3 linked regions of the Neurospora crassa OR74A genome follow. The protein of the gene in region 3 binds, or shares a complex with, the protein of the main gene of each other region. Links are inferred from orthologs where the notes say so. Each region holds a gene or a part of one and is shown on either strand. Other genes may lie near its edges.

Evidence for each region. The genes of interacting proteins can lie anywhere in the genome.
Region 1: NCU08296 (region 3) and NCU05717 share a complex: the UniProt entries of both Saccharomyces cerevisiae proteins name them as parts of the mitochondrial small ribosomal subunit. The link is inferred for Neurospora crassa OR74A from reciprocal best matches to the Saccharomyces cerevisiae genes NAM9 and MRP17.
Region 2: NCU08296 (region 3) and NCU03343 share a complex: the UniProt entries of both Saccharomyces cerevisiae proteins name them as parts of the mitochondrial small ribosomal subunit. The link is inferred for Neurospora crassa OR74A from reciprocal best matches to the Saccharomyces cerevisiae genes NAM9 and RSM25.

The regions. Positions count from the first base shown.
Region 1 is NC_026503.1:610,117-620,408, forward strand, and holds NCU05717 (mitochondrial 37S ribosomal protein YmS16), read left to right. Parts: upstream 1-5,592; 5' UTR 5,593-5,854; coding exon 5,855-5,878; intron 5,879-6,014; coding exon 6,015-6,046; intron 6,047-6,308; coding exon 6,309-6,606; 3' UTR 6,607-7,305; downstream 7,306-10,292. Other genes in the region: NCU05715 (sorting nexin mvp-1), read left to right, coding at 1-285, 335-474, 531-1,124, 1,177-1,386; NCU05716 (hypothetical protein), read left to right, coding at 2,822-2,917, 3,091-3,134, 4,097-4,170, 4,223-4,911; NCU05718 (hypothetical protein), read right to left, coding at 8,210-8,273, 8,352-10,292. UniProt on the Saccharomyces cerevisiae protein: Component of the mitochondrial ribosome (mitoribosome), a dedicated translation machinery responsible for the synthesis of mitochondrial genome-encoded proteins, including at least some of the essential transmembrane subunits of the mitochondrial respiratory chain.
Region 2 is NC_026502.1:1,032,029-1,042,145, forward strand, and holds NCU03343 (mitochondrial 37S ribosomal protein RSM25), read right to left. Parts: upstream 4,389-10,117; 5' UTR 4,049-4,388; coding exon 3,663-4,048; intron 3,573-3,662; coding exon 3,236-3,572; 3' UTR 3,055-3,235; downstream 1-3,054. Other genes in the region: NCU03345 (hypothetical protein), read right to left, coding at 1-776, 867-995; NCU03344 (hypothetical protein), read left to right, coding at 2,041-3,054; NCU03342 (hypothetical protein), read left to right, coding at 5,001-7,286; NCU03341 (exocyst complex component Sec6), read right to left, coding at 7,929-10,117. UniProt on the Saccharomyces cerevisiae protein: Component of the mitochondrial ribosome (mitoribosome), a dedicated translation machinery responsible for the synthesis of mitochondrial genome-encoded proteins, including at least some of the essential transmembrane subunits of the mitochondrial respiratory chain.
Region 3 is NC_026504.1:2,499,165-2,510,360, reverse strand, and holds NCU08296 (mito ribosomal protein S4), read left to right. Parts: upstream 1-5,699; 5' UTR 5,700-5,888; coding exon 5,889-5,933; intron 5,934-6,121; coding exon 6,122-6,601; intron 6,602-6,703; coding exon 6,704-7,540; 3' UTR 7,541-8,084; downstream 8,085-11,196. Other genes in the region: nitrogen assimilation transcription factor nit-4, read right to left, coding at 1-26, 86-1,671; NCU08295 (RNA-binding La domain-containing protein), read right to left, coding at 3,523-3,622, 3,679-4,445, 4,510-4,773; NCU08297 (cell division control protein 3), read right to left, coding at 9,251-9,889, 9,943-10,409, 10,465-10,731. UniProt on the Saccharomyces cerevisiae protein: Component of the mitochondrial ribosome (mitoribosome), a dedicated translation machinery responsible for the synthesis of mitochondrial genome-encoded proteins, including at least some of the essential transmembrane subunits of the mitochondrial respiratory chain.

The sequences.
Region 1 (10,292 bases), on a different chromosome or scaffold from region 3:
GGGGACCTGGTCAGTCTGTCAGTGGTTCAGTCGGTGGTTCCAATCCCAACCGAAGCATTGGACATGTCAGGTCCGGAAGCAACGTGGAGGAGAATATCCTGGTGACGCTGATGCCGGAGAAGGAGGGTGTGTTCATGTTCCAGCACCACAACTACGAGGTCTCGAGCATAAGACGTGGCAGCAAGGTCGTCCGACGATACAGCGACTTTGTGTGGTTATTGGATTGCTTGCACAAGCGGTATCCGTTTAGGGTGCTGCCGCTGTTGCCGCCCAAGCGGGTTGCTTGTAAGTTAGAGACCATTCCGAGGGACATGGGCTACGCTAACAGAGACAGTCAATGGCAACCATTTGTCCAACGATGGAGCCTTTATCGAGAAGCGTCGCCGCGGTCTGGCTAGGTTCCTCAACGCTCTTGTGCGCCACCCGGTTCTGGGTCAGGAGCAGCTGGTGATTATGTTCTTGACAGTGCCTACGGTATGTCTACCTCACACTTTGTGGCTTCCCCGCAGCTGCTAATGATGTGCTCTCAGGAACTGTCGGTCTGGCGCAAGCAAGCAACAATCTCTGTTCAGGACGAGTTTACCGGCCGCACACTACCGCCCGGTCTCGAGGACTCGCTTCCCCCAACTTTGGAGGAGCTCTTTGCGCGCACCCGAGTCGGCGTCCGCCGCAGCGCTGAGCTCTATATCAGCACCTGCACCATCATGGACCGTCTGATCAAGCGCTCAGAAGGCGTAGCAGCCGACCACGCCAGGATGGCTGTCTCCCTGATCTCACTCACCGAGACCAGTGCCGATACCTACGCCACCGACCACAATGACGTGCCACTTCTCAACGACGGGCTGCAAGCCATGGGCCGACACTTGCGTACTGCACAGACTTTGATGGAGGATGAAGCAAAGGCGTGGGAAGAGGGTGTTTTGGAGGACTTGAAGAGGCAGCGAGATGCGCTAGTCAGTCTACGTGATATGTTTGACAGGAGAGATCGTCTCGACAAGGACAACATCCCCTTCCTGCAACGACGCATAGAGACAAATGAAGCGAAGCTGCAAGCGCTTAATGCAAAGCCAGAAGGGATGGTTAAGCCCGGGGAGAAAGAGAGGGTTGTAGAGGCGATCATTAAGGTATGTCTCTCTTTTACGTTGATCAATGCCACTCTACTAACACCGGAAGCAGGACAAGGAATCCATTGTCACACAACACAACCGCTCAGTATTTGTCAAGGAATGCATAAGAGACGAGCTTCGATTTTTCCAGAACACGCAGTATAACGTGTCGAGACTGACGCAGGATTGGGCGCAGGAGCGGGTTAAGTACTCGGAGATGCTGGCGGACAACTGGCGAAGGTTGCTAGATGATCTGGAAGGCATGCCGCTTGGGGATTAGGTGAACTCTGAGAGGCATGGGCTTGGTCGGACCATCCGGGGTGGTGGTGACGGCACTGTTCGTGGTCCAAGCAGAGGCAGCGACATGGGAAGGGGCAATACGATGAAAGTCAACAGGTCAAGCTATCGGCAATGGAGCTTCAACAGACCTGCAGGAATCGAAAACAACAGAAGTGGCACCGTCAACAACAGAGATGCCAGTCAAACAGGAAGGATTGTTTCTGCTGGTGGGGTGGTCCACTGGGCTTGACGGATATTGATGAGATTGATGACGAATTATGGACAAGGGACAGAAGGTTACAGCTTCATGACGGGGATGGCAGGTTTGGGGATACCAGTTACCAGGCATGTGCAAAGATTGAGGGGGGTACGGTATGATGGGATGAAGTTTGGTTTGGGGTTCTTCATGTGTGACTTTGTTATGTTACTCATGTTTATGGCGTTTTCATATGATTTGCTTTGTGTCAAGTTGAGCTGTATGTGTATGGTCTGTCTGTAGGGGCTTTCTGTAGGGAGTTGAAGAGAGGCATGGACAATACCAGAGATGATGACGCGGCTTATACGACCCATGTTAGTCTACTCGTTGGCTGTGATTCACTGCAGCTTCCACTCTGCCTAGAGGTACTGTACTTTGCAGAAGCTGAAGCCGATTCCGGGACATTGGTCGGCCGTCTCAATCCAGTGGTTCGTGCCAAGACCTGGGGAACACCACTGCCGCGGCGGCACTCAGACACACGAGCTGCCCTGGTGGTAGTATACCTCTACCTCTATGGTCGCAGTGACTTCCCCCGCCATGACGTTTTCTCTTCAGCCTCGCCTAGGTAGCTGGACTCATAGCGCTGAATGGCCGTGGTGGCAGTGGGTTTTCCCTGGTACGAACCTCCGCCGCGGGCCCCTCCGTCCCGCTTTCCAAGCTGTGATGCCCGTTTAGTAGTGGAGTGCCCGCCCTAAAGTCCCGTCGCTCCCCTCCGCCTTCCCGATCTTTACCTATTTTGACAAGACGCAAGAAGGGACGAATCTACCTAGGCAACGAACCTGCAAACCGAAATCCACGGCCACGGCACCTTCACAGCTTTGCTACCGAATTCGAGCTCAACCCACCCCTCGGCTCGTATCTGCGCGCAATTACAAACACGCGACCCGTCCAACAGCGAGCGCCTCAAGCTCCATCCGTCTGCCACATCACCAGACCAACAGCCGATCCCGCCTTATCAGCCTCTGCTGCCCTGCCCCGCGACGACTTTGGGCTCATAAACCGATCGAGATCAACTCACGCGTGCCCGAACAAGCGCCAGCACCAAGCTCTCTCTTTACCTTCGCAAGGGCGACATTTTGTCTCTGTCAGACAACCATCTCGTCTCTTTTCCGCTCAGCGTTCGAAAGACGGAACGAACGACGACACCCCCAACCACACAACGAACGTTGAGACAGCCAGAATGAGTAGCTCTAGGCTGCCCTCAACGGCCACCCAGAGGCAAAAGGTTGCCCAGTTTGTCGCAGTGACCAATGCGAGCAAGGAGAATGCGCAACGGGTGAGTTCAACCAAAGTCCAAGATCCCTTGCAAGGTCCAATGTCACAAGAAGGGATTAAAAGAGACCTCGGAGAGTGTCGTCCCGCTGGGACGCCATATGTCCATCAGTCCGACCGTGCGAGTGCGACTGCGAACAAGAGTGCAAGAAGCTAATATTTGGACTTGGATTACAGTACCTCCGAAATGCAAACTACAGTGTCGAACTTGCTGCGAATATGTAGGTCCCTTCTTCCGTCCTCGTCTCCTCTTGCAACTACCGACTTTACCCCATGTGCATTCGCAATGTCGCACGGCGCACCGCATACCGTGTGTGTATCCCTTCGAAATTATTAGTTGGAATATGAGGGAGGTTTTGTTTTGGGGCCGGGTCGAAGCCGGCCACGACGGTCGTTCGGGTCGGAACTCCCTACAGCTCCCTACAGCTACAAGCTGTTTACGACCAATGAATACCACAAGGGATCAACGTCCCGACACAATGTCTTATTAAAAGGGTCATGTTGTGGTCTTTTTTTCGGGTCATCGTTTTTTGTTTTTGTCAACCGTCAGCATTGGTTTCCAGCCCCCGGGTTCTTATTTTCTGAATTTGTTGGAAAACATCAACAGAAGGGAGATGAGGGAGGCGCCGAGAATGCAACCACGCAACCAATACGCATTTCCATGCACACCGTGGTTCTCCAGTGGAGCCCCCAGCTCAACCTTAATGTCATTCCCAAACGAATGAATGCGACGCCCCTTTCCCATCAAAGGCATTTATCACCACTTTTGCACCTCAAGATGCCACCACTTGGCTCTTCAGACACGAAAATCATGTTTTCGAAACTGTTTGGTTCTTGTTTCCGAAAGAGGAATGGACGCAAACCCGCAAAGTCGTCGGCTACTCCAAGCGAAGATGCGACTGAGACTGAGGGGAGCCACTCGCGATCACAATCTCACTCCCGATATCCCCAAACGGCGGACAACGTGCCTGGGTCTCTTCAGTTGCAGGATCTTCCGTCTACAAAAACTGTCCTACCGACTGGCAATGGGGAGTTGGGTCCACGCATAGATCCCAAGGGAATATCCACTTCATCCTTGGAAAATGCGCCGGAATTAGAGTCCGTGATGGCTTAAGATGCCTTGCTTATTATTTTCAAAATTTATCAGGTTGGAAACGGAAGACTAACCTTACTTCGACCACAGGTATATGAATGATCGGGAAAGGAAGCGTGGCCCAGATGATGCGTTGAATCAGTTGTTCGACCGTCTGGTCGGCGGTATGTCTCTTTGCCCCTGCCTCTCATTCCCCTCGAACTAACATCGATACAGACGAGGACCGAGCAGCAGCAGGAGCCGGAAAACCCGTCGAGGCCATCGGCGCCGAAGCCGCCCAAGCCTACATCTCCTCCATGGGCGCCAATATCGAAAACGTTGAAGCTTTTGTGGTCCTTGAGATCGTCCGCGCCGACTCCATCGGCCAAATCACTCGCCAGGGTTTCGTCGAGGGGTGGTCCTCCATCTACCTCGACCACCGCATTCCCGCAGACCCGGCCCACCACAGAAACTACGTCCGGATGTGCATCCAAAACCTGCCTCAAAATCCGGCCTACTTCAAAAAAGTCTACCAGTTCGCTTTTGGCCTGGGTAAGGAACCTGCCCAAAAGGCACTGGAGAAGGACGTTGCCTTGGTATTCTGGGATTTGTTTTTGGGCACCGAGTCTTCAGATACAGGACTAGGACCGAGGCCGTGGAAGAGCAAGAACGTGGATTGGCTGGGTGCGTGGAAGCGGTTTTTGGCGGAGAAGTGGACGAGGAGCGTCAACAAGGATATGTGGAACCAGACGCTGGCGTTTGCGGAGAAGACGATGGTGGATGAGACGCTCGGGTTCTGGAACGAAGACCAGGCGTGGCCGGGCGTGATTGACGATTTTGTGCTTTGGTGCAGGGAGCAGGGGATTGCCAAGGCGCCTGCACCGGGGGCAGCAGGAGGGGAGGGGATGGATGTTGAGGATTATTAGAAAGTTGGTCATGAGCATCCGGGGAAGGAGTGTAAAGGATGAAGTCAAGTGGGTGGATGTGGTTATACGGGGGGGAGCATATGAGGATGTTGGTGAGGACTCTTTCGCCTTGGCGCAGGGAGGATAAGAGGGGCAAAGAAGAGAAGCACTGATGGTCATGCTGTTGCCAGTTGATGCTGGGAGGGCTTTCGGGGCTCTCATGGCGGTTATCATCTTGTTGAGGTTGCTGCCATGGTGGTCAAGCGGCGCATCGAAAGATCAGAGGTTGGTTCGCAAAGAGCAAAGAATACATTTACACAGCGCATTTCCAGATACACAATACCGATAAGAGCATGCATTTACAACATGAAGGCCATTCAAAGGTGTATGAAGCGGTTGGGAATGTTTTTAGAACAAGTCTGATTTCTCATTGCTTCTAGACCACATTATAACCCTTTAGGAACTTTTAAAACAGCTTTTCTGGAGGACCATTACACCCAACAGATGTCTCTACAATCACCGAGGTGACAGCTGAAGAGTCGAGTAAACAACCTCTCTCCCACCCACCCTTGATGAAGTGTGTACACCCCTATCCGGAAGGCGGTCAACGCGGCAGAATCTCGACCTTCTTCCTGGACCCCACAAAAATTTCCAAGCAAGCGGCGGCACCCGGACGCCCACTCGCAACCAACCCGCTGCGGCACTGCGGCAATGCGGCACTGCTGACGGCAACACCCACCACACCCTACAGTACTTGCTGAGCCCGGTCACAACAGCAGCCACAGCGGTACCTACTGTGGGGCTCCGAACTTCTTATCGACGTCCAAGGTTCACTAGGTAGTACTATACGCGCTTTCGGCCGGTCGCAATCGCATCGCATCGCATCGCGAAACTAAACTTCTTTTTGCGTTCGTTTCTTTCCCCGAACCGATTGCCCGCCGCCCAGCCCAAACTACCAGACAGGATGTTGTATGAGACTATTGGTATTGTGAGTTACCCTAGGGTTGAACTACAGGAGCAGGTTAAGAGATTGGGGGTACAGAAAAGGAAAGGAAATGGAAAGGGAATGGGAGAGGAGAGAGATGGAAAGAGACAGTCTTGCTAATGATTGCACTTGTGAACAGGTCCGCCCGGGCAACATCGCCGAGGTGAAGGAGTATGTTTTTTTCCCCTTCTCTTTGTTTCCACTCGATAGTCCGTCCGACTTGAAGAAAACTCCCTCCGTCTTTCCTTTCCCTTACGAACCCGACCCGACCCGAACCGACCGATCTTTCTCTTGTCTTCTCTTCTACCACATCATCCACGACCCTACCTACCTATCACCCCGACTCCGACTCCGAACCCAACCCAACCATCCCATCCTCTACCAACCTTCCACACCTCGTCGTACTAAACAAGAACCAATAAAAAAAAAACAGACTCGTCCTAACAGCCGGCAAACTCATCCTCAACCAAGGCGGCGTCATCCGCGACATCAAGAACTGGGGCACGTTCCTGCTGCCCCGTCCCATCTCCACCAACCAGCAGCGCCATAACCGGGGCCACTACTTTGTCATGCGGTACGACGCCAGCATCGCGACGCACGAAGAAGTCCGACGCACCATGAAGGCCGACCCGCGCGTGATCCGCACGGCGAACGTGAAGTTGGGCGATGGCAAGCTGGAGACGCTGTCGAGGTTTGGGGCGATTCCTTGGAGGAGTTTAGAGGAGGCGTAAATCTGTATCTTCTGGACGGAGAGCAAAAGAGGGGGCGGGTGGGGGGGGAATGTGTACGATGGATGGACAGATGGATGGGAAATAATGAATCGAGTCGAATCGAATCGACATATATCCATCCCATCTCCTTACCGGCTTGTGTATACCAAAAGGGCCGTGATGAAGCAGACCGGACAACATATATGGACGGATGGATGGCAGGCATCTTTATACCTTCTTACCTCCGTCGACAGCAACAATAAAAACGACCGAAACACCCACCAATAACGATCTGGGCCTTCGATGAGCAATGGTACATCGTGAACGCACGACACCTGGATAGCAACATGGGATACATACATACAGACAGGCAGCATACGTATCCGAAATCTTCATTGCGAATGGGTTGCGGAACCATCCATACCCACTCAGGTTGAAGGAAGGAGGAACCTGACTCCTTTTCGACCCCGTTAATGGATCACCGTCGTCGATCAAGAAGTTCTGGCGTGAATTAGGGTGCACTCGAAACGGTCAGAGTATCATATCAGTCAAGCCAGCTAGAGAACAAACTCCCGGACCCGTCTTTGTTCATGTACGATAACGCATGTGGAATGTGATCCGCTAAAGAATACGACGCCATATTCAGATTCCTTAAAGCAAGGTAGTTCATCGGTCCCGGCTCAACAAGGATGGCTTGGGATTAAGAAACGTCAGACACGATCATATTAAAGTTACGGGTGATCTTTGAAAACTTGACGTGAGGGCTCTTCGCTCAAACTTCATCCTCGTTTCAGTTACCACACTTGTATGCTACACTACCTCCCCTTATCAAATGTAGTTGATCGATCCTCTCGAGTTCCCAGTTAAACACTATGATATCAGTCTCGCCAACACACGGCAACACACGGCAACAGAGGCATGTTCATATCACCAAGTCAACACACATCCAGAACCGGGGCTCACTAAAGTGAGATTTAATGTAAACCATCTCTATCAATTACCTTCCACTACTTTCACTCGGCTACCTAAATAATGAATCACTCCAGTCTTCCCTCTCTCTCTCTCTCTCTCTCTCTCTCTCTTCAAAACGAAAATTTTTCAAATCCAGTCTTTCCACCCACCATACCAGCAACGCCCGGAACAAGCAAGCAGTAAACTGACCACCACCACCACCACCACCATCACCAACCCCCTTGACGCTGCGTTTGTATCCTACCACTTTATCCCGGCGTTTAGACACAAAAGACCCGGTAGTGAATGCAAGGAAGAAAAAAAAGGAAACACAAAAAAACGAACAATAAGAAAAACATAAACTCCCAAACTCCATACCAACCAGCACAACCGCCTGCAGAAGAAAACCAGGAAAGTCAGGAAATGCAGTAAAACCACGATCGGCCGATCTATGGATCGAGGCCACGCAAACCAAGAGTGCCGTGAAGCAAAACATCTGGAGCAGAAGAATGAGAAAAAACAAGAAAAGCATATCCCTCCGTGGAACCTTTTTGACGCGCTTCACAACTTCCCAACTGACAATTTCTCACCAATCGCCACCACCCACCGTGTTCCTCGCGCTCATGGGCAAGCAACCATGGGTAGTTCTTTTTCCCCGAAGGATCTCAAAACCCTATTCATCCTCATGCGGCAAAACAACCGAGTCCATATCATCCCAAGCTTGTTCCACGTACGCCCTATACAGACAGCAACACCTCAAACGTCAGTAACTCATCGCATCATAAATCAGAAATCAGAAATCAGAAAATACGTACGCAGTACTCCTCACCACCCGCTTCCCCTTCTTCACCAAAAAGCTCAAAAACCTCCTCTTGGTTCTCTCCCGCTTAAACCAAGCCAACACATCCCCCCTCGACTCCTGCGCCTCCTGCGCCTCCTCCTCCTCCTCCTCATCCCCATGATGACGATGATGATGATGATGTGCAGCATCCTTCTTCACACTAATCAAAATCTTCAAACACCCACTCCCCTCAGGCGCATACACCACCTCCTCGATTTCGTCCAACCTCAGATGGAAATCAATCGGCTCCTTGTAGACGCCCCACGTCACGCGACGGCCCTTGACATCTTTAAGGACTTGGTGCTCAAAGCAGTTTTCCTCTCCGCGACCCGTCAAGTCCTCGCCGGCGCCCAGCCAATGCCAGTATTGTGTAATACCGGTGTTGGTGGTCATTTCCCGGTGACGAACTTGTAATAGCCGCCAGTCGACTTCTGTGATCTTGTCGCCCGAGTAGGAGTCGTCCGAGGTGTAGCCTTCGTAGTAGAGATCTTCGGGGGGAGCTTGGATTTTGAGGGTCACGGAGGGGGAGGGCTGGTGGTGTTTGGCTGCGGGAGGCTTAGAAATCGCATGGGTTGGATGACCCATTTCTTCTGAAGTAGAGGGTGAGGAATGGGAAGATGGGGCTCTTGTGTCGGCGGCTTGGTGGTGGTCTACGACACGAAGTTGCTCTTCTGACTGGTTGGCAGGGTCATCTGTCGAGTGAGCAGCAGCCGCCTTCCTCTTCGTCCCCTTGGCCGCCTTCTTGGGAGCTGGCCCATCCTCTCCCTTATCAGCCATCGTAGGCTTGTAGCCCCTCGGCCGACCAATATTGCCAAACCCGCTCTCGCTGCGAAGTAGCCGAAGTTTGGGGTCCGAGTAGAGGTTCTCCACCGCCTTTCCGAGGTTGAACTTATCGCCCAGCTCTTCGTGGATTTCGTGTAATCGGTGTCTAAGCCATTGTGAAGGTGAAACATCCAGCTGCTTGAACCTCTTGAGTTCCTCCAGCACCTGCACCATGCGGTACAAGTTATCATAACCTATGTAGGCTTTGTTGATGAGGTGCTTTGCCATGAGCTGATAAGGGTGGAACTCTCCCTTTGCCAGAAAGTCCAAAACCAATTTGCCCCTGTTTTGTTGACGACCAGCCAGATATTTTGTCGACGCCGCGCCGCCCTCGTTTTTCAACTTTTCGTACTTTTCCGACCACTTGGCGAGTTGGGCTTGGATCGGCTCCTCGAGCGCGACCCATTCGGGATCCCAATAAGGATGGTCGGGGCCGATCCTGACGAGGGGAACGCCGCGCATGCAAGGGGGGTCTGTAAAAACAGTCCCGTCGTCACGGAGGGCGAGGTTTGCCAGGTTGATGGGAGGAAGATCTTCTGCGTGATCGCTGTCGTTGGGCGCTGGACTGCCTTCCAGGGGCGTTGGGGCGATTGATTCGGGCTGCACACTGGACTTGCGCGTGCTCGGAAGGGACTTGCGCCCCGAGGGCAGTTTGGATCGTGCTGGCTGCTCATCTCCGTTGCTAACCACCTTCGCGGTCTTCTGGCTCGCCGATGTGCCATTCACAGCTTTAAAGCCACTGGTAACAACGGGAGCTTCTTGAGCCACCTCTCCGTTCCCGGCCTTTGGGCTGGCTTCGGCCATCTCGTGGTCTGCATGCTTAGAAGCACCACTGCATCCCTGGCGATTCCACTCGCAGTTACCGCACCGGGGGAAGCCCTCGGCGTCCAGGATGATACACTGCGGGAAGACGCCTTGGCGAGTTGTGCATGACGCGCAAGGGGTTTCTTGAACATGGCCCGTAGCTTGAATCCAACAGCTCAACCACTTGGCGCCCTTCTTGTCGCTCGGTTCGTAGATGGTTTCCAGCGTCTCGGCGGTGAAGTTCCGTCCCTGGCGAGTCTGTACGTGACGCTTAATCGGTTGCTGCTGG
Region 2 (10,117 bases), on a different chromosome or scaffold from region 3:
AGCTCTGCTTGCTCCGGGCCAGCTAAGATGGGTAACCTCCTGACCCAAAATCGCATAAAGACCAGAATGGCCTGATACATGTACCAGGCTCGAAACCCAGTTATGTGTTTTGTAAAGCCGCGGTGTAGCTGAGGATACCGTGGATTCCACCAGACGCTTAGAATCGCAGTAGTGAGATTCCAACCACTCAGCCGGTCGGTTGACGGCAGAAGGTTAAAAAACCAAAAGCATGTATCCACAGCTCTCAGAGCCCACGGGTTCGGCGTTTCACCCAACCGCGTCAGGATGGCCGCCTTGAACAACATGAGCATTATGGAGAGGTGCCAAAGGAGTTGAAGCACCAAGCTAGCAGTCCGTAACCACCTCCCCAAAGAGTCGAAGACGTTCAGCCAACTCCATCCTGTAACTTGCTGTCGCTGCTTGTTGCTTCTCTCAATCATTCGGAGTAAGACATCGGTTTTTGCCGTATAAGCTGCTTCGCCTAGTTTCTTCTGGACGCGCGGTTCGCATTCGGCGCACATTTGAGGATAGAGGCGCTCTTGCAAACGTCGGAACTTGTAGATGTTCCTACATCGCTCTTCGTATTCAGAATCATCGGGATCCGGGAGATACTGGGCCAGAACAGCTCGTAGCTTGTCCTGGTTGGCCAAACATTTGTTGCAAAAAACGCTGGCGCTCGAGGAACCGACGGTGGGCGAAGTTGCTCGCGTCGTGGCAAACTTGGCAGGACTTGCTTCGTACTCGGTGGCTACAGGAGGATCGGTGATGTCGCCGTTCTAGCGGAGCAAAGAGAAGGTGTCAGTAAATAGGTACAATATGCGCCAGCCAGGTCAACTGGATAGATTCAAGACAGCAGGGAGACCTACACCATCAAGGTAGTTTGTTGCGTCGCAGTTCCGGCATTCGAAGTTGCGGATAGAGCTGTTCCATGGGGTCGAGGTCTTGCGGCCACAATAGAAGCATGTTAGATATCGAGTCCTGTTCAGTCTGGGCATTGCTTCGAGTGGTTGCGCGTTCACGCGATGCCCATTGCAGAATGTGTTCGGTTTTCAGAAAGCGGCGCGCAATGTCTTCCCTTTCTCTGCGACACGGGGCAGAAAGCCTCCTTCAAATATGTCCCCAACCGCTGAAGCTAATCGCAGGTATTGGAGACCGAGAACTCAATTTGTCGTGGAATGGTTCCTCTGTTTATAGGTGATTGCTCAATTGGAGGTCGTCTAAGTGGTGAAAGGTGGTATCCATTCAAGACGGATGGAATGTGAAGATGGAACTGAAGCGACATGGGACTTTGGGGTTACTGAGTGAGGAGGAGCTCTCTCTCTTGAGGTTTCGTTGACAACAAGCATCCATGCGGTTCCCAACTTCCCGCTTTCTGCCAGGCGGTCGGTCAACTTTTTAGCGGCCTGGGCCGCCAAATGCGCCCAAATCGCAGTCACCAGTGGGGCCACCGTCGTCATTCCCTTCCGCTATTCGGCAGATCATCAGGGCCCAGGGGTGCGTGTCGGGTGTTCTCCAGGTCTCTCTTTCAGGGGTTTCAATTTGGCCCAAGCTTCCCGTCATTCATTGTCGTGCCCCGTAAAGCGACATGCACTGGCTCATTCCCGTCATGTAGCTACCTCTACAGAAACCACACCTCCATCGCCTTTTGCTCAGTGTCATTTTTTCCACATGCCTCTACGACTTAAAAGCCTTTGATCTTGATGTCATATATCACGCTTTAAATCTTGCCAGATCTAAAACACCCATTCACCTGGAGACACATGTGTCAAGTCGGCATGGGGCTTATATGAGCGAGTCTACATGTTCACCTCCAGACGGCACCAAACAAGCCTCTCCTTCTTACCCCAATTGGATGTGCCCCTTTTGTCATTGTTTATTAGCCCCTTTATTTTGGAAGGCGTGACTTCAGGAAACCTCCAAACAAAACACGTTATCAAGATTCGACGAGGTGACACCATCAAGTACCCAGACTCCATATTCAAAGAATGTGAAACTAATTATACCAATAGAATTTTGAAGAGACCTTTGGGGCTCTCTAGAATGGCCCCTACTACTTCAGCGTCCGTGCTGGCGGGCAAGGAAGAATCGCGCAATGATCAAGAGCTAAAGCCCGACACCAGAGCTGAGAGCTACTCTCAGTTACATGTTGAGACTGTGAGCGGCATCAACTTGACAGCAGCCACCTTTGTTGCGGGTGCAGCATCCTCCACCGCAGCCGGGCTTCTCCTCTCTGGTCTATCATGGCTATGGCTCATCTCCCTCGTCATCACCGTCGGGATAGTGCTTGGTACCTTTATTGTCTACCGGCACTTTGAAATGATACGCCGGCGTCAAAAGCCAGGTGGCAGCTGGCTCGTCCCCAGCAATACGCCCCAACCCAATGCCGCTGGCACACAAGTTCCCAACACCACCTCTCTTCCTGCTATTTACTTCACATATATACTTGGCTCTGGTGGACACACTGCTGAGATGATTGAGACCATCAAGCAGTCATTTCGCGGCCAGGCAAACATCCACCGGCGGTACATCATCTCCATCGGAGACACTTCCTCTCTCGGCAAGGCCCGCCTTCTGGAAGCGACTATCAAGGACGCCTATCCCGGAGAAGATGATCGAGCAGGCACCTCTGATATCTTCTTAATCCGCCGTGCGCGCAAGGTCCATCAACCGCTCTATACGGCACCCTTTACCTGCCTCATATCCGCCTTTCATGCCGCCAATGCCCTCACACGGATGCCCAACCCACGGTCAACAAAGGATCATGGAAAGGGATTCAGATACCCGCATGTGATTGTTACAAATGGGCCTGCCAACGGCTTTATTGTGTGTTTGGTGGCCCACTTGCTCAAGATATTCTACCTCGTACCCGAAAACAGGGCCAAGGTGGTGTACATCGAGACCTGGGCCAGGTCCAAGACGATGAGTCTGACGGGGAAGTTGTTTCTAAAAACGGGCATTGCCGATGTTGTCGGTGTGCAGCACGAGAGTCTGGCGAAAATATTCAAGGGCAGTCAGTATATCGGGCCGGTGTCTGCCGGGTTTCTTCGAAGATAGGCGACCAGGCTCCTGAATCACATGTACTTCTACAAAGTCTCTTGCCCTCTCTATATGTACAAAGAGACGTGATATTCTTACACTTGTGCACGAGTGGGCCGGCATCGTCTTTCCCCGACACGGATGGGTATCAGCCACGCTATACCACTCTGTCCCTCCCCTTTTACTCCAATTCGTTGCCTTAATTCTGCGCGAGCAGCTCGTCCTCCTCAGATTCCTCGAGCGCAGAGTTGTCGACGACATTGGTGTACATGGAAGCCCTGGCAGATTCCTGGCGGGCGATCTCGGTCGTAGCCCACTTCTTCCAACTCTCATACGTCTTGTTCTCGAGCTCCATGCCGACCGTCAGAAGGTCCTTGCCAAAGTAGCCACCAACCATGCGGGCCTCCTCGACGGCTATCCTGCGCTCCATCTGCTCCAACTGCCTCAACTTGTAGAACTCGTGGCGCGCCTTGTCGTAGGCTTCCTGCTTGGTCATGCCTTGATTCTCCATAAGCCAGAGCTGACGTTGAACGACACTATCGTTTGCGATTCGGGTTAGCATCCAATTTCCATGCCTGTCCGCCGGGCTTTTGCGCCATGTGCAATGCGCTCATCCAACAACGTACCTCTCGCCGGACAAGGGGATGCCGCGTTGCCTGAGGCCCTTGGACCAGTCAAGGAAACGGGCGTCCTTGCCATCCAACTCGATAATCATCCTAGGCCTGGCCAACTCCCAAGGGTGGTCGCGGTAGAAGTCGCGGCGCAACTCATCTTCGGGATAGACGATCTTGGTGGGCCTAAAGAGGTTGCGTGGCTTGCGCGCTCGCGGGTTCGGCGGAGAGTGCTGGATCGGATACGGTCTGGTGTTGATCTCAGCGGGAGGGATGGACTCGATGGCCTTGAGCCACAGTGGTGGGTTCCGTGGTGGCAGGCCAGAGACGATGTTGGTGGCAGCAGCCTCGCTGGCCCTCTGGTAGACCTTTGCGGCCTGGAAGATGCGCCCCTTGCCCATCTTGTCCGGTCGTCGCTGGCGGCGTTTGGGTGTTGTGGAGGGAATTACTGGTGATAATCGACGGCAGCGGTGGTGTTGGCTGAGATCAGAGGACCATTGGCGGATTCGGCGGTCCTTTCGTTCCTCAGGTACCCTCCCAAGGCAAAGGCAAGGCTACGAGGTTACGGGGTGTGTATACCTGTGTAAGGTAATAATAATACACTGCGCTGCGCTGCGTAGGCACAATGGATTCCCTCACCCGCCAAACCTATCGTTATCGCTATTTGCTTAGCTTTGTCCAAAGTGGAGCTGTGCCTTTTGGAGACAGGCACGATCCGACACGACCTTCAGTTGTTGCCGGTAACCCGCGCGACCTGCTGTCCTGCCTGCCGCGAGCGGGCGAGCAATTGGAAGGACGTGCCGGCAAAAAAAAAATAGTTCCCCGCCCCGCCATTAAGCGACCAAAGGGAAGGGAAGTACCTAGCTAGGTGCTTATCGATAACAGAAGTGGGGGTCTTGAGCCCGGCCGAGACTGGACCCTATTCCAGCTTCCCCTCTTTCGTAGAGGCAGGGGTGGGGTGTGCTCACGGCAAGGTACCTGGAGCTGTGCCTCGTCCATGTATTGTAGTGTACACCACTACACTACCCCAACTTTTTCTCAATCATCGCGTCGCTCACCCGACCCCAGTTTCCTGCCACATCCCTCCTCACTTCATGACTCGAGTTCTCCCCATTCTCCCCATACTTCCCCGCCCTCCACGAATCTGACGCCCTGACCACATCGACCTGAGTACGATCCAATTCGCCAGTAACCGCGATTGCATCGAGTGCCAATCGAGTGCGCAGCAGCCAGCAGCTTGTGATTGCGTCTTCTCTGAGCTCTTCTTCATCGAATTGCGGCCGACACTCGCGGGGAACAGGCAAGAAAAGGTTGGCTGAATGGGCAGGCCATCATGTTGGACGGCGGCAGCTCATGAAAGTCTCCAGCCGATTTGAAGGGTCGATATGCGGCACCATCTTCTTGCATCGTCCGTCGTGGAATTGGTCTGCCATTGCCGCCTCCGCAACCGCAATTGCTGCCACCAGTTCCGTGTCGCAAACCACAGCATCCATCCAGCTCGGTGACCAAGGCAGCGGACGAAGAAGACAGGTTGCGACAGCAGGCCTCGGCCCAGTACAACAACGACGGTGCTTCCACGGCAGCTGGAGCTCACAAAGTGGTGGCCTTGTCGATGGGGTCGCGAGGAGACCCATAGGCGGCTCCACCGGTTGCCCGCTACTGACCACCCCATCCCTGCGGGTAACTCCCACCAGTCTGTCCGGCACGAACAGCAGACGAGCACTCGACTCCAACTTCTTCCGCTATTCGGTCTCTGCTCCCCAAAAGCGGAGCCACACGGCGGCGGCGGCGGCGGCGGCAGCCCCGGTCCCTGACCCCGTTGCCGCAGCTGCCCCCGAACCCAGTGCCGATCAGAAGCCCGCCGACTCTGTCTTCTCGGCCCCATCCGCGCTACATGACGATCTATCGACCGAGTCCCACTCGGGCGCAAACCCACAATCACAAGAGCTGCCCGAATCCCACAGTGCGAAGCTCGGTCATCTCACCAAAGAAGAGCTGCTTGAACTGGTAGATCCCTATCATGATCTAGATGGAACGGTCGAAGACTACCTCAAGTTCATTCGCGATCCTTACATGCATAATTATGCGCCCGCTGATAGGCCCCGGTTCACCTTTGTACAAAATGAAGATGACTACGAGTATCCAGGCCCGGACGAAGTGGTTGGACTGGACGAATTTGGCCAACACACACTGAGCGATCTCAGGTTTGCTGTACTCGTGCGGCTGCGCACTCCACACAAGGTTGACCTTGACACGATCTACGACCTCTACCAGCAACTGCCGGAACCGCGCATGCCCTACATCAATGGTCGATTGCGACATCAGCTCCTAAAAGCATTAGGGCAGCCTCAGCGGAGAAACTCCAAGTCCATGCTGCGGTACTTCGCCGTCATAGCGGATGTGAGGAACTGCAGCATGCCCTTGACGGCAGGGGAGTGGAATTGCGCCATCTCTTTTGCAAGCCGATATGTTGGCACTGTCACCGAAACTCAGGCGCAGTCTGCCATGAGACTGTGGCGCGAGATGGAAGTCGACGCTGGCATCAAGGCGACCGAGGTAACCTTCAACATTTTGTTTGATGTGGCCTCGAAGGCTGGCAACTTCACTCTCGCTGAAATGATTTACCAAGAAATGGTCAGTCGTGGGCACTATTTCAACCGCTATCACCACGTAAGCTTGATCCATTTCTTTGGGCTCAAGAGGGAGACTGGTGGACTGCGCGCCGCGTTTCGGGAGATGGTTGAGGCCGGCGAGATGATTGACACGGTTGTCCTCAACGCCGTCATATCTGGACTGTTGCGATCGGGCGAGGAAGCAGCGGCCGAGCGTATTTATGCTCGCATGGTGGCTTCTATCGCGAAGTGGTCGGAGGTGTCATTCCCAACCCGGAGCTATGCCAGCGATCGCGCCATCACCCAGGCGCTGAAGATGATGGCCCGGGTTGCAAAGAAAGCTCCCGAGTTGCAACACAGCTTTCAAGAGATGGTACCAATGCATCCGAACCTTCGGACGTATAGCATTCTGGTCAAATATTACGGCGTTCGGTGCGGAGATCTCTCCCGCGTGGCCAAGTACATCGACGATATGAAGCTGTTTGATATCCCTGTTCACGGCTCCATCTTCAAGGTTTTGTTCAGAGCTTTTGACCGTCATGGAGGTTACGCAACTTCAGCATGGAGCGCGAGGCGGTTAGAATCAATCTATTCGGCCCTGCTAGAAGCCATAGATGCTGGACGCACACTTATTCATGACTCGGCCCCTCCACCAGTTGACGAGGCAGCGTTTACTGATGATCAAGCTCAAGAAACCCAATTTCATGAGCCAGTTCAGGTCCAGCAAGATCATATCCAGGAGGAACACCTTCCTGATATTTACGACGATGAAGCTGAACTCCCCTTCGAAGAGGAGGAGTACCAACAAAAGAAAGAATGGGGTGTCGACCGGCCAGGCATAGAGATCAAGACCTGGCTGGCCATTTGGGTCCTGCGCGCATTCATGCGATGCACAAACGGCGACAGAGTCGTCGAAGTCTACGACCAACTCAGGGCCCGCTGGGAGCTCAGTGACAAGGACGAGTTATTCATGGCGGACTTTTTGTCTTCGCTGCTCATCAACGGATCAAGAAGAGGGAAATGGTAATACAGTACAAACACATCACGACAGAATATTGAGACAGACACAGAGACAGACAAAGAGGTCTGGCAACGGGACACAGAACGTCACGGACACTACCATGAGCTAATGATGCTTAGGCACAGATTTTACATATTTACAGAGAGTTGTTGTTGCTTGTGTTCTTATTTCTTTTTTTTTTTAATCTCTTTTTATAATGGCGTCGGTGATGGTTGGACGTCAAATGTTTCTTGTATATTGCTTTCTTCTTTTTCTGTTTTCTTCGCTTACCATAGACGCGGACCAGTCGCGTAATATCTATGGGCATTTGCATGTTTGCGAACCAGAAGGGCACGCTTAACGAGCCGGAGTTTGGACTCTGAAGAATATTTATGTGGAACTCCGAAGAATATTTGTGTGGTTGCATGAATGATGGAAGTTAAAGGCAGCATTTCAAGTGAGGGACAACCACCCACCATTAGACTGGCCTTCGGTTCTCTTATTCACTCTTGAAAATGTCTTCGCTGTAGCTTACAAAAGCTGGTATCATTATATGCATAGAACTTCCAACTCCCTTCCCGACTTCCGTACCTACTACAGTCCAATCCCAAGTATCTCACATCATTAAACCTATCCATTTTCAACCCAGGATAACTATTGCGTGTCCCCTTATTTGACCTTGCTCATGATAGTTTCCGGCCCTCTGACAACGTCCATTTGGGCGGCCCTAGCCTTGACAGCATTCAACATACTTCTCTCAAAATCGTCTCTGGACCTTAACACTGCCTCGACCCAGCTGATCTGCAAATCCCAATACTGGCTCTTGAACTCTGCAAACGCGTCCGGCACCGCCTCTTTATCGACCGTCAACAACTGTAAGAACGGCTCCGACACGCGCCACGTCTCTTTGATGGCATCGCCCACATCGGGGTTCGGCAAGTTGTTGAAGAAGTCAAAGGCAGTCGACAGGTCGTCAAAGATCTTGTCTTGGAAGTTATCTTGCCTGCGGAACTTGGCGCCCTTGTTGCGTACCGATGACAGGTAGCGAATGAGCAGCTCCTCGGCAAAGATCTCGATGAAGATGTCGACGAGCGAGTGGTGCAGCACCATCTTGTAGTCGGACACGTACTCCTCGAAGGTGGCGATCATGCGCGCCATGGCGTTGGTCGTGTACCAGCGGGGGGTGAAGAAGTCGGGCATGACGGTGCGGAAGTCAACTGCGAACACCAGTTGGGCAAATTTGGTCATGCACCACGTGCTCAGGTCGACGTAGCCGTCGCGCAGAGCCGTGATCTCCGTCTCGGCCCGGTCCATGTACTGCGGCGACACGAGCGTGCTGAATTTGCGCCGGAAGTCGGAGAGGTACGCCATCCGGCCTTCGTCCTCGTTGTCATCGATGCAGGCGATTTGGTCGTTGGCTGTCGCCACGAGCCAGTCCTGCAGTGGCTGGAAGCCGTCCAGCTCTGGTTGGCCTTGTGGGGGTTGCACCTCGTACCGCGCGGCTTCGTCCTCGAGCATCTTCTGCCAGGACTGCTGGCGGGTGCGTAAGCGCTGGAACATGGTGTCGATGACACCTTCCACAACATCGGCACGCTTTGAGTTGCCCGCGGCATCGACCTGTTCGCGGAGCATGCGCCACAGATCGACCAGGTTCTTGGTGCGGAAGTATCCATACTCGTCCTGGTCGAGGTTGCCACCCTCGACGTTGCGGTCGACAAAGTCCTTGCACTCTTGCTTGTAGATACGGTCAATCCATTCGTCGAGGAACTTGATGATGAGGGCGCGGAAGTCGCGCACCAGTTCTGCCTCGCGGTTGTCGATCACATGTGGTGTTAGTTCGTCCTGCTTCATTCCCAACTTGGTCATCTTGCGATAGTAAGCCTCAGGCCAGCTGATAATGGCTAAAGTATGTGCCGAGCTGGTCTCCGGGTCGTCAATGAGCCCGATGAGATAGTCATGCATCAAGCCGTGGTAGATAGTAGCCCATGTCTTGAATATCTTCCACTTCTTGGGCATAAGCGGCGTCATGCCGATCTTGACGGCGTTCAAGTCGTTGAAGTACCATTTCAAGGACTTGTCGAGCATGTCCGGATCACCCAAGAACTTCTCCTTGCTCTCTTTGAACTGGTCCTCGGCAAAGGTCTTGATAGCCTTCAAAAACTTGTCCTTATAGCCCCTGACCGTCTTGGCGCCGTCGGTTATGCTCTGGAAGCGTGTGGCCATTTCCTTGTGATCCTTCAGCGCTTCTTGCAAGGCCAAAACCCTCTGATCGCTCTTTTCCTCAGCTTCTATTATCAGTGCGAAACGTACGACCAGACTGTTGTTGTCGGCAATAACCAGGTTGATCAAACTCATGGCGACGAGGGTGATATTCACATCAAACCACTCAATGTATTTATCCAGGCGGGAGAAGTAATCCTCTAATGTAGACTGCAGGCCTGGATCGTCACCCCTCTGTATTTGCTCGATGGCATCGTCTCGGATATTACGGAGCTGCGTCAACTCGTAATGAATAGCCAGTAGGTTGGGCATGTTTTCGGGGTCCTCGTCGTCCTCGTTTAACATCCTGTCGATAGCGTCCAGGCGCTCGCTGAAAGTCTCGAGGTTGCGGCGCATAGTCTCGACGGCGCCAAAGTTGCGGTGGGCTTGGGACACCAGGTTGATGGTAGCAAAGTCGGTGATCATGTCTTGCGACTCGGAACAAATCTTGTCGATTTTCATCATCTCCTCCTTGATTTGCTGCACCGTCCTTTGCCCGTCAGCCAGGCCGTTCATGCCGGCTTGTGTCGTCTCGAGCTGCTCCCGCAGGCCACTGCGTAGTTGGGAGTCAACAGCTGCCTTTTTCCGCATGAACTCGG
Region 3 (11,196 bases):
GGATATACTGTAGATGATAAAACATGCTGTGAAAAGGTGAGTAACTCCGCCCAGTCTTGGGTAAGTAGAGAGTGAGAAAACCTACTGCATTAGAATGACATTGGGTAACTGGCCATCCTTGGGTTCGAATTCCTTTGGTAGCTCCGTTCTCCAGTCTTCCAGACGCCGATGAAGTTCGCTAAGCTTTTTGAGCTCAGCTGACTTGCCGCTCGATCTTCCAATATGACTGGGGTGGTAGAAGAAGAGTAAAAGATCACTACTGATCTCGCAGAGTTTCGACAACTGTAAGCCTATAGCCCGTGTCCGAGATGGCTGCTTGCAAGACTGGTCGAAGCCTGCGTCGGTATAAGGAGACCACAGTTCAGCATCTTCGTCTGGAAACACATCATACTTCGGAACGTTATAGGTGTTTTTGGGAAGCTGTGGTAGCCGCCCGAGATAGTTTGACCAGCACTTGTCAAACACAAAGCAACCCCAAAAGGTGATTCTCCGGGCATCCACCTCCTTTTCGTCCAGCGATCCAATGTCTAGATTCAGGCCAATGTCTTGAGCCATTCTGAAGCTCATGCCGCTGTATACCCAGCCTTTCGCTTCCCGTCCGCAGCCTGCTTCTCGCACTGACATAAGCGCCAGAGCTTGCACGGTAGTGAGCCTTGGTTTTTCGTACTCGTCGTTCTGAACAATCAGTCTCTTGGCCTCGGCGAAGAAGTGATCACCCTTGGTCCTGCTGTCCCCAGGTACCGCAAAGGCACCGTCCACACTTGTGAAGTGACAGCCAAGCGCGAGCATGGCATTGACCAGCAGCGACGAACAGTAAACAGTGGAGCGTGGTTGGCCAGCCGGCTTTCCCTTGATGAAATCCCGATAAAACAAGCTTCTAGACAGCGTGGTGAAGTAAGGATAGTGCCAGTTGAAATACATGTTGACGAGATGGATGATTAGTTGAGGATTCTTGGTCACCTCTGTCCAGGTGGTGATTGGATTCTCATCGCAGGTCGACAGGCGGGTTTCAAGCTCCGGTTCTTCAGAGGCATCTGTCGGTTCACTGAGATATATGAGGTGCGAGGTACCGCCAATAAAACGAACAGAACCATTTTCGATCCGGAGCTCTCCCATCTTACGGGCCAAGTCCCTCTCACCCTCAACGGCCTGACTGGTAGCGTCATCTCTGCCAGGTTGGGTGGGTTCATCGCTGTCATCGTTGTCGTTGGTTGCTGTTGCGTTCTTCTCATCCCTGCGGATGGACTCGGCTACTTCGTCAAGGTCGTCACAGGTGCGAATCCTCCTCACAATGTCGATCACATCTTCCTCGGAAGCATTCAAAATGGCCTCTATTAGGATCTGCAGTGTGGCGTTCTGGGCTTTCATGCTATCGTTCTTCTCCCGGTAGACGCCTTTTCGGCGGTGATCTGAATTTGGGTCATAGATGCACTCGGTGCCGTAGACACTGGCACAGGCCGCGCAGCTCGGAAGGGCGCCGTCACACTTGGACTTCCTCCTCCGACAGGCGATGCAGGCCGTGCTCACACATCGTCGCTTTTGGTTGGTAGGGTCAGCGCCCCGCCTAGACTTCTTCTTGGAAGGTAACGAAGAGGCGATGTTGTCGGGGGCGAGTCCGGCTGAGCCTGGCGCATCTTGAGAGGACATCATTTGAACATCCGAACTGTTCATCTGCCGGGGAGTACCTTGGTGAGCTGCCAAGTACAAGCCGTGGTAATGGTTCTGGCAAGGACTGCAACTGTGACAGCAAGCAAGCCTCGACACGGAATTGTGACGCCTGATATCGTCTGGCCGATGGGTTCTGTACCAGGGTGCTGGGTTGCGGGGAATTGGCGGGGAGTCCCCGGGGCCTCAACTCTTAAGGGACCGGTGGGACTGAAGGCCGTGTGCGACTGAAGCAATGGAGGATCTCTTGAACGATTATCAAAGTCGCGGACGACGGGCGTTGTATCCCAACCAACAGTGATAACCTCGGCGAAGCTCCGTCGAGGTCGGCAACAGAACTCCACGGTCCTCACAGCGCGGGCGTGGGTCGAGACAGCCCAACAGAGGCAAGGGAGATCCGGGGTAGTCCGGGGTAGGGATTTCGGGAAGAGAAAAGTCACAACAGTGATGGCGATGGGGGCGGCCGGGTTGGTCAAGACGGTTCTTGAGTCAGAGTACACGGCCGGGTGAGAAGAGGACAAGAGGCCGAACAAGCGATTAGAGAACGCCGGCGCAAGCGGGACGTTCAACAAGCAGACGGACGACTCAGAAAAAAAGCAACAAAAAAAAAAGGCTATTGGATAAGCCCCTGAGATGTTGCGGATCTCCTGTTCTCTTGTTCACCGTTGGACGTGAGGTGAAGTGGTTGATGATCAATAAAATGGGAGCGAAGTTTGAACTAAACCCCCAAAGCCCCAACCAAGACTCGGGACGTCGGCTGGTACGTGCTGTTTCCTTGAGGTACCTTACCCAGTTGATGTGCTCGGGTACGCAGGCATATGTAACAGTTGTCGACTTACGCTTCGTAGCAGTACACGAAATAAGGAGACAAGGCTGCTGGGACTCTGTGAAACTGACCGTTTCCGGTCTGAGGGCCAAAATGACTTGGACCCCTATCGTGTCGAGTGACGATAATTGTCGATTCGTAGGTAGTGCGTGTGCAGCTTTGAACCTCGACCTAGTTGCAAGTTGTAAAGGCTCTGAATTGTTTCTACACACGCTATAATAGTGTTAGTAATCATGATCATTGCCCATGGCGAGGTTTTCTCGGCAATATCATTGGTCGAACGGAGGTTCCTTAAAGCATCAGAAGAGGATCTCGAGCACTGTGTCTGTTTCGTAGATACTGCATCGCATCTCATTCGTTGCGTCCAGCCCCCAAACTGCACTAGGTATACTAGAACTCCATCTTACACTACATCGTGTGCTCATCCCGTACTTGCAGCCAACACAACGCCCAGACATCGATACATAGTACCCTAAGACCCAAGTTGGTAAATGGCGACTTGCGGTCTGGAACGATATCATAGGCGTGCTCAGCGTGGAAGGCCCAGCATGAAAGAAAATGACTGTTCAGTAAACGAATGGCTGTTTCCCCAAAGCGCCTGAGACGGTCTCCTTGTCTACCCAAAGCATTGACTATGGCCGCGTCACCTTGGTATCTACACATAATCCAGTCGGCGTTTTTTTAGCTATCAGAGACCACAACTTCCAATCTTTGAGGGAACAACAGCATGAAGGTCTGACATGATAAAACATCTAGTAGTCCATTCACTCAACTTGTCTAGCAAAAGTGATACAATGCTTACTTCTAGAACCATCGCCTTTATACTGCGTATATATTCGCATGCAATAACCACAGCACGCTATCAAGGTCAATATCGGATGTTGTAGTACGAAATCCCTGCCCTTTTAAGTTTAAAACAAACACCACCCATATAACGCCGTCCGAATGTTTTACAGCCTCGAGAATTATTCATCAGGAACAAGTCATCAGTCCGTCCGGCCCAGAACTTGGAGCATACCAATGCCGGCCTTCTATTGCTGCTCGACAGCCTCAGCCTTAGTGTCGACCTTCTTCGCCGCTGGCTCAGCACTCTTGTCTCCGTCATCTTCACGGGCACGCTTGTTGTTGTTACTATACCACACGTTAGTAAATGTTCGAAACCCAGTTGTCGGATGGCTGTAACTTACTCGTTGTTGCGGTCACGGTTGTCGCGACCACCACGGCCGCCACGGCCACCGCGGCCACCCCTTCCACGACCACGGCCACCCTTGAAGCCGTTTCTCTGGTCGTTATCACGACGCGACTTCCAGTCACCCTTGTCACCACCGCTGCGGCCGCCACGTCCGCGGCCACGTTCGGCACCCTTGATGCTGCCCTCGAAGAAGATCTTTTTCTTGCTGGTGCCGGGCTCCATCTTGCCCTCCTTAATGAGCTGGGTCTTCTCGTCCAGGTAATCCTTCTTCTTCTTGATGACGAGCTCTTGATCCTGCCACTTGGGGGCGGGGTTCAGGGCAACAAAGGCGTTGGCTTCGTCTTCCGTCTTAAACTCAACGAAGACCGAGCCCTTGAATTTGTTCTCCTCGTTACGCCTCAGCTTGACCAGGTTGACCTGACCAAACTTGGTGAAGAAAGCCTCGATGTCGAACTGAGTGGATCCGGTCTCTTCGCCGAAACCCTTGACGTAAACGCTGGCAGCCAGACGGGCCTTTTGCGCATCAGAGGACGAAGTGTAGGCCTTCTTGCGCTTGACCGTCTCCTGGCCCTCCTCGCCAGACACATCCAAGAAGGCGCTCTCCTTCAACGCGGCGACGACGGCCGAGTAGGGCTGGAACATCTGCATGCGCTTGAAGCTGCAGATGGTCTTGAGCGAAACGGGCTTGTTCTCCACGCCTCCGGTCGTCTCCCACATGAACTTATCGGTAGGGAGGTTGCTGTCGCTGAAGTAGAACTCGACCTAAGACTATTTGTTAGACACGGGGACACGCAGCATGCCAACTGTTTTTGTAGTCTGATCGTACCTGGTTGCGGATCTTGACGGGATCGTCAGTGACGGGCTGGGTCGAAGGATCGTATTTCCTGTTGTTCTTGTAGTCGGCGCGGTCGATAGACTTGGTAGCCTCAGGCTTCTTCTCCTCCTCCTTGCTGGCATCCTCAGTCTTGGGAGCCTCCTCGGCGGCGGGGGCAGCCTCCGCGACGGGGGCCTCTACAGTCTCGGTTTGGACCTCGGTCTGAACATTCTCGACGGCAGGCGCAGCCTCAGTGTTGGCGGTGGTATCGCTCATGATGAAGGTCGGAGTGGCCTGTAGGTATTTGAAAGGGTAAAGTACAAGCGGCTGTAAAGGCAATTGACCGTCTAACGTGACGCGCGTGCACGGAAGAGAAGAATGGATGTAGATGGCCGGGAGAGAGATAATGGTGAACGGATGATGAAAATGCAGAAAGTGCACTGGAGACCGGGGACCAAGCAGGCAAAACGACGAAATTATTTAGTGGGTCCTTCAGGTGCACTCCAGTTTTGGGGCGGTAGGCGCAAAATGTTATTGCAGGGTGCAGTGGGGGAATGGTGTTGGGTTGGTGCAGGGTTGATTGTTGATCGACGCGACAGGAAAGTCGGCCATTCACCAGCAAATCCCAGGACGTGTGTGAAGTGTAGAGGTAGTCACGTAGTGTAAGTCAGGTAGGACCTCGATAATTCTGAACTGTAACACACACTTCAATTCCCTTGTCAAAGATCGAGAGTTTGATTCAGTCTTGTCCATCCATTACTGAGCTCCCTCCCTCCATCATCATACAGCAGCGTAACCCATCTGCCCTGACTTTTTCCAGGGTCTGTCGGCATTGGAGTCATATCGAGGACTGCACTTGTCAAAACCTCCCCCTCAGCGCAAAAAAATGGAAGCGGCGAAACCAAGCAAGCAACCAAATCAGCCCCACCCAGGTCCAAGGGAACCGCCTTTGGGTTTAGACTTTTTGTGCCGATTTCTACCGCCTGGCTCTGCTTCTAGCCCCACTCCACTTGCACCCGCAATCCGCCAAGAGGTTGCGGAGCTATACCGCATGCGCTCTAGCTCCCGCATCCTGTGCCTGCCAGTTCTCCACCATCCGGCCTGGAGTTGACGCGCACAGTGGCCCGAGCTTCTCACGTGAATGCGACCAATGGGCGAGCGCGTGCTCCAATTCGGGTCTGAAATAATTTTCGGAGGACGGCGCCCGATAAGAGGTGGAAGGGCCCCGGGAAGCTCCCCTCGTTGGCAGTGCTGCTAGGTGCCCCGGACCGCTCCGGACTCGACAATCTCCAAACAACCTGCGCCGAACCGGTCCGTCCACTTCGCCAAAAGCACGGGGCCTACAGTCCGATCCGATCCCCCGAAGCTCCTCCAAACACACCACACCCAACATGAAGATCCGGAGGTTGTTCAAGTACCACAGTTTGAAGAAAAAGGTATGTGCTATTCGGTGTTTTATGCCGCCGTCGCCGGGTTTGCCGTTGGTCATCGTCGCCGCCGCCGCATCATCACCCCATTCGCCCCATTACCTACTACCTGCCAGTCCCATTGCCACGACACTCAACACCCACCACACGCGATCATGCTGACGTATTTTGTGTGCGCTTCTTCTTCTTCCGAATAGCCCATCAGGCCGACATGGAACAAATATAACCTGTACAACCTGGCTACGGCCGGGAGAGAACCCAGAATCAGCGGCAAGACATTCTTCCAGCAGAAATGGCTCGCCAAGTCCTTGACACGAGCATACCACGGCGAGCACATCAAGGAACGCAAATGGGCGCGCATGTTTAGCCGTCGCCTACCGGCCGTCGTCAACATGGACCCGGCATACATGGCCAAATATAACGGCAGCGAACAAGCCGCCGGCCGCGGTTCCGGCCTCTCAGAGCCCCCAGCCTACGAGAAGACCGCCGACGAGAAACCTGCCAAGCAAGTCATCGCCAACCCGGGCAGGAAGGTTCCCACGCCGTACGAGCAAATGACCTTTGCGCCTCTCGAGAGACGCCTCGATATCGCCATATTCAGAGCCCTCTTTGCCAGCAGTGCGAGACAGGCCCGCCAGATGGTTGTGCACGGTGCCGTCACCGTCAACGGCAAGAAGGCATGTACACCATCACAACGTTCCAATACCGAATCCCACAATACAGTGCACCCATGCCAAAGCTGCTTGTTTCGGCGCTAACATTACCCGATCCTTTTGCAGATGAAACACCCCGGTTACCTCCTGAACCCTGGCGATCTCTTCCAAGTCGACGTCGAGCGCGTCCTCTATGCGACCGGTGCGCCCAAGGACAAGAAGCTCCTCGCCGCGGCTATGAAGGCCGCCAAGAAGGAGCTTGCGGAGGAAGCACAGGAAGCCGCCGAAGAGAAGGATGCGGAGGCCGAGGAGGCCGAGGAAGGAGAGGCACAAGAAGCAGCCTCCAAGTCCGGCAAGAAGGAGAAGCAAGTCGACACCTCCAAGTTCGACGAGGCCTGGAACCGCAAGTACGAACTCCTGCAGCTCCAACGTCTGCTGCAGTACGCCAAGCACATCGCCGACTCGCCGTCTCACCAGCTCTCCGCGACGCGCAAGCAAGCATTGCGCGCTTTGAAGCGCGACATCAAGGCCGCCATCAAGCAAGCGCAGCGGCGCGACGGGTCCGTTTCGCCAACCGGTAACGTGGTGGACGACCTGACGATGCTTCTCGAGCGCCTTGCGGTCTCCCCTTCCAAGGCCATTCAGCAGGAGGAGGCGGCCAAGGAGCTGAGCAAGAAGCTTGACAAGCAGTCGCGCCAGGTGCTCAAGAAGGTGATCGAGTACAACGACGAGCACGAGGACAACGAGATCGACCCGAGCAAGCCGTACATGACCCCCTGGAGGCCGCGCAACTACATGTCCGCTTTCGCGTTCATCCCCCGCTACCTTGAGGTCAACCAGAACATCTGCGCGGCCGTCTACCTCCGCCACCCCGTGGCGCGCCCGGGCGAGTCCGAAGTACCGTCGCCTTTCTCCCCCACTATCAACCAACTCGCGTTCAACTGGTACTTACGGAGAGGTTAAAGGAGGTCTAGTTAGGAGCGAGGGAATGAAAAGGGGAGATGGAGGGAGGAACGGCAGTCACTCTCTGCCGTCTCAGAGCGGTAGAATTCGCCAATGGACGATTAGAGTCGCGCGCACCCAGTTTTTTGCATGTCGCGGGTACGCTCTATTGTGCTTGTTGCATCTTCAAGGCAACCTCGGATGATGTGATACTCTGCACCTGCTGCGGCTTCAGTTGGACCATGCGTTGGAAATCGGGTTCGGTCTCGATGAGAAAGCTGCGAAGTGGGCGGCAAATCTCGCGATTCCCGGAGAAAAAGGAGACGGGGATGGATCATGCATGAGATGAGTTGACTTCATACGTATTTTGGGCACATTGCGCGTAACAGTTTGTTCGTTCCTCAATACCCGAACAATCTGTTGCAGACTCATTCAGTTCGCCCCCTTCGGCATCGATGTACGCTACATGTATCATTACCACTATTAACTAAATGGATATAAAGAGGGGCATAGACAAATTTCCTTCTTCTTTGCGTAAGAAAGTCATGAGACAGATGAGAACCACCGAGACACCTACGGTCTCCTCTCTGAAAGCTCAGTGCTTATATAGTAAAATTGCCAATCATAGCATTGTCGATCGAGAGGAGCAGTGCAAAGGTAAACACTTATCACTGAGGAAGACGGCAAAATTCGCCTTGAGAGCGCGAGAGAGAAAAAGGCTAAGAAATAACTATCTAGGAGAGGCTAAGTGTACGTTGAGTGTGTGTATGTTTTATGTGGTAAGCAAGAACCCTCCGTGGCTGGAGAGCGAAGCACCAGTTGAGAGAATCGGCCGGAAATGTTGGGTTGGGTATGACCGACCGTAAACCGTGAAAAGAAAAACCTCCTACAAGAATTCCCCGTGAAATAAAAACATCTGATCGCCGATGAAAGCAGTTAATAAAATACATGTGTTGTTGGGATATCTGGTCGTTCGTTGCTTTTCGTCCAAGTGAGATTTCCCGCCTGTTCCCTTACGCCCCCTTTGCAACTTGCATATGGTGCAACGTCGCGAGCACAATTCAAACCCGACTCCTTCTGATCCCTCTATGAGCTTCTCGGTTGTGAATTGCTCCTCGCTCCCGCCAGCCACAGCATCCTAACCGACTTGTCAGTCATGGTGGCAGCCGGAAACATGATGTTGCCGACAGTCGGTCAAGAAGACAAGGGCAAGCAGAGCCGCGAAAGGGAGTTGAGGGCCTGATTGCTGCTGCGCCGCAAACATCTGATGGGGAACAGCCAACGAATTATCTCTCTTTCTTCTCCCTCATATTTTCGGAACTCAACTCCCTAAAGCAGATAAGAGGATATATCTGTTGGAACCATGCTGCCATTGTGAAGTAAGAGATTCTCGAAAAAGCTCCTCCGGCCCAATTACATCTGCATTAGCTTTTCAAGAACAAAGTCGACCGGACCGCACCCCGTCCCAACGACGGAACACACCGGCTTTTGGAAATTTGACCGTTTACGGCAGCCAACAAATTTCTAACAGAAACCCATCCGGTTATGAAGGGATCTGCAAAGAGACTGTTGGCTTGCGAGGGGATCCTCCCGCAGGATTAGGAGGTTATGATTAGAAGATGAACAAATGGAAAACAGAGAATGAAGGAATGAAGCGGCAGGCCGAGGTGTATGCGGGATAACATGACAGTACAACAGTCGTGAGAGGCGGGTGAAGTTGTTGCCGCAAAATTATCGGAGAGAAAATCCCTTCCTCTTTGTCGGCTCCTTCTCAATTGGCCGCCCACTTTCGATTCGGGACTTCTTCTCCTCGAGCTCCAGTCGTTGGCGCTCCAGCTGCTCCTTCATCTCCCTATGACGAGCATACAGCTCCTCTTCGCTCTGCTTCAGCTTGGATTCCTTTTCAGCAACCTTTTGCTGGAAGACCATCTTCATTTCGGCTTCCATCTTCGCAAGCTTCTGTTCGTGGAGGGCGCGCTCTTCCTCCTGCTTGACGGCTGGGTTCACCTCCTTGAAGACGCTTGGATCTTGAGAGACGCCCATAGCGATCAACTTGTCCGTGCGGTAGTTCTCGTAAAGGACGTTGTTGGTGTGCTCCTTGAGCTCCTCCATGTGAGTACGGATGAGCATCTGGCGGAGCTTCACAAAGTCGCAATGCTCCTCATTGTCCACCTCGATCACACCCCAAGGGTAACGGCGACCGCGAACCTTACGGCCATCGGCGTTTGTGATCTCGTTGGTCGCACCGACAACAGCGAAGGGGACCTTGGACATGATCTCGTTGTTCTCCGCGATGGTCTCCTCATCGTCGAGTTCGTAGCGAGGGCCCTCAAAGATTTGCACCTTGTGGTACTTGATATCCGCAAGAATCTATGATAAACTGTTAGTATTGATCGCAGAACCAGTAGGGCCCGAAGACATACTCTAGCCTTGAAAGCAGCAATCTCGTCATCGGTGAGAGTATCCGACTTGGCGATGACGGGAATCAAGTTGACCTTGGTGTGGAGACGCTTCATGACCTCGATATCAAGAGGCTTGAGCGAGTGACCGGTGGGCTGGATGAAGAACACACAGGCATGGATCCTGTTGTCCACAATGTTCATGCGGTTCACCTTGTTTTCGGCATCCAAGTAAGCATCGAAGCGCTGTTCGATGTTGTCCACAATAGGACGCCAAGACTCGTCGTTGTTGACAAAGTCGCCGAAGCCAGGAGTGTCAACGACGGTCAAACGGAGGCGAACACCAGCCTCTTCAATATCGGCGCTGATAGACTGAATGGTGACAGTCTTGGGAACAATGTCGAGGCTAGGTCCCTTGCGCTCCTTGGGAGGGTAAAGCGAAGTGTTAAAGAGAGTGTTAACGAGGGTCGACTTTCCGAGTCCCGATTCACCTGCATGTCTAGAATTAGTAAATCTCCTTCAATGGACACAGAAAGCGTCACATACCAACAACCATGACATTGAAGTTGAAGCCCTTGCGGACGCTCTTGCGGTGCCATTGGTTGGGAAGGTTGGCGAAACCAACGTATCCCGTCAGCTTCCTTCGGACAATGTTTCGGTTGTCGCTCAAGGTAGAAGGGAGAGCTGCGGCCACGGTGTCAGAACCAGAAGCATCTTGATGTTGTTTCGTCTGAGATGGCAATGGCTGGGAAGTCGATGACTGAGGTACGGGAGCCGCCCTAACAGGAGGAGAGGTGGGAATACCGTTCGAAGCTGTCATAGAGCCAACGTTAGCATGATATCCATCATCTTGTGCCCAAAAGTATGTAATGTATGTCCAGTCAAGTGCGCGGAGCTCTCAACTACTAGAGGATAAAGGCCGCTTCGGTAATGGCTCCTGGGACACAGTCGGATCCGTAGCCTTGGGATATAGCTCGTCGTATGAGAATTGTTGGGTCATTGGCAACGTCGGGGCCGGGTCCTCGATTTCCAGCAAGCTCTTGTATCGGCGTAGAGCCTTCTTGATCATCTCGTTGTTCTCCCCAAGGGGCAAACTGCTGGTCCGTGTTCCGGAGACGGAAACGGGGGACACGGGACCATCCCGCGAGGCGCTTCCATCGATGGTTTCAGCGAGACTGGCGAAGCTCTTCTCAAACTGAACACTTTTGGCGCGGCCCCGGGTGGCATTGTGCATCATGGTAGCGAAATGCATTGCAGCGGAGTCGTTTGAACAAAGTA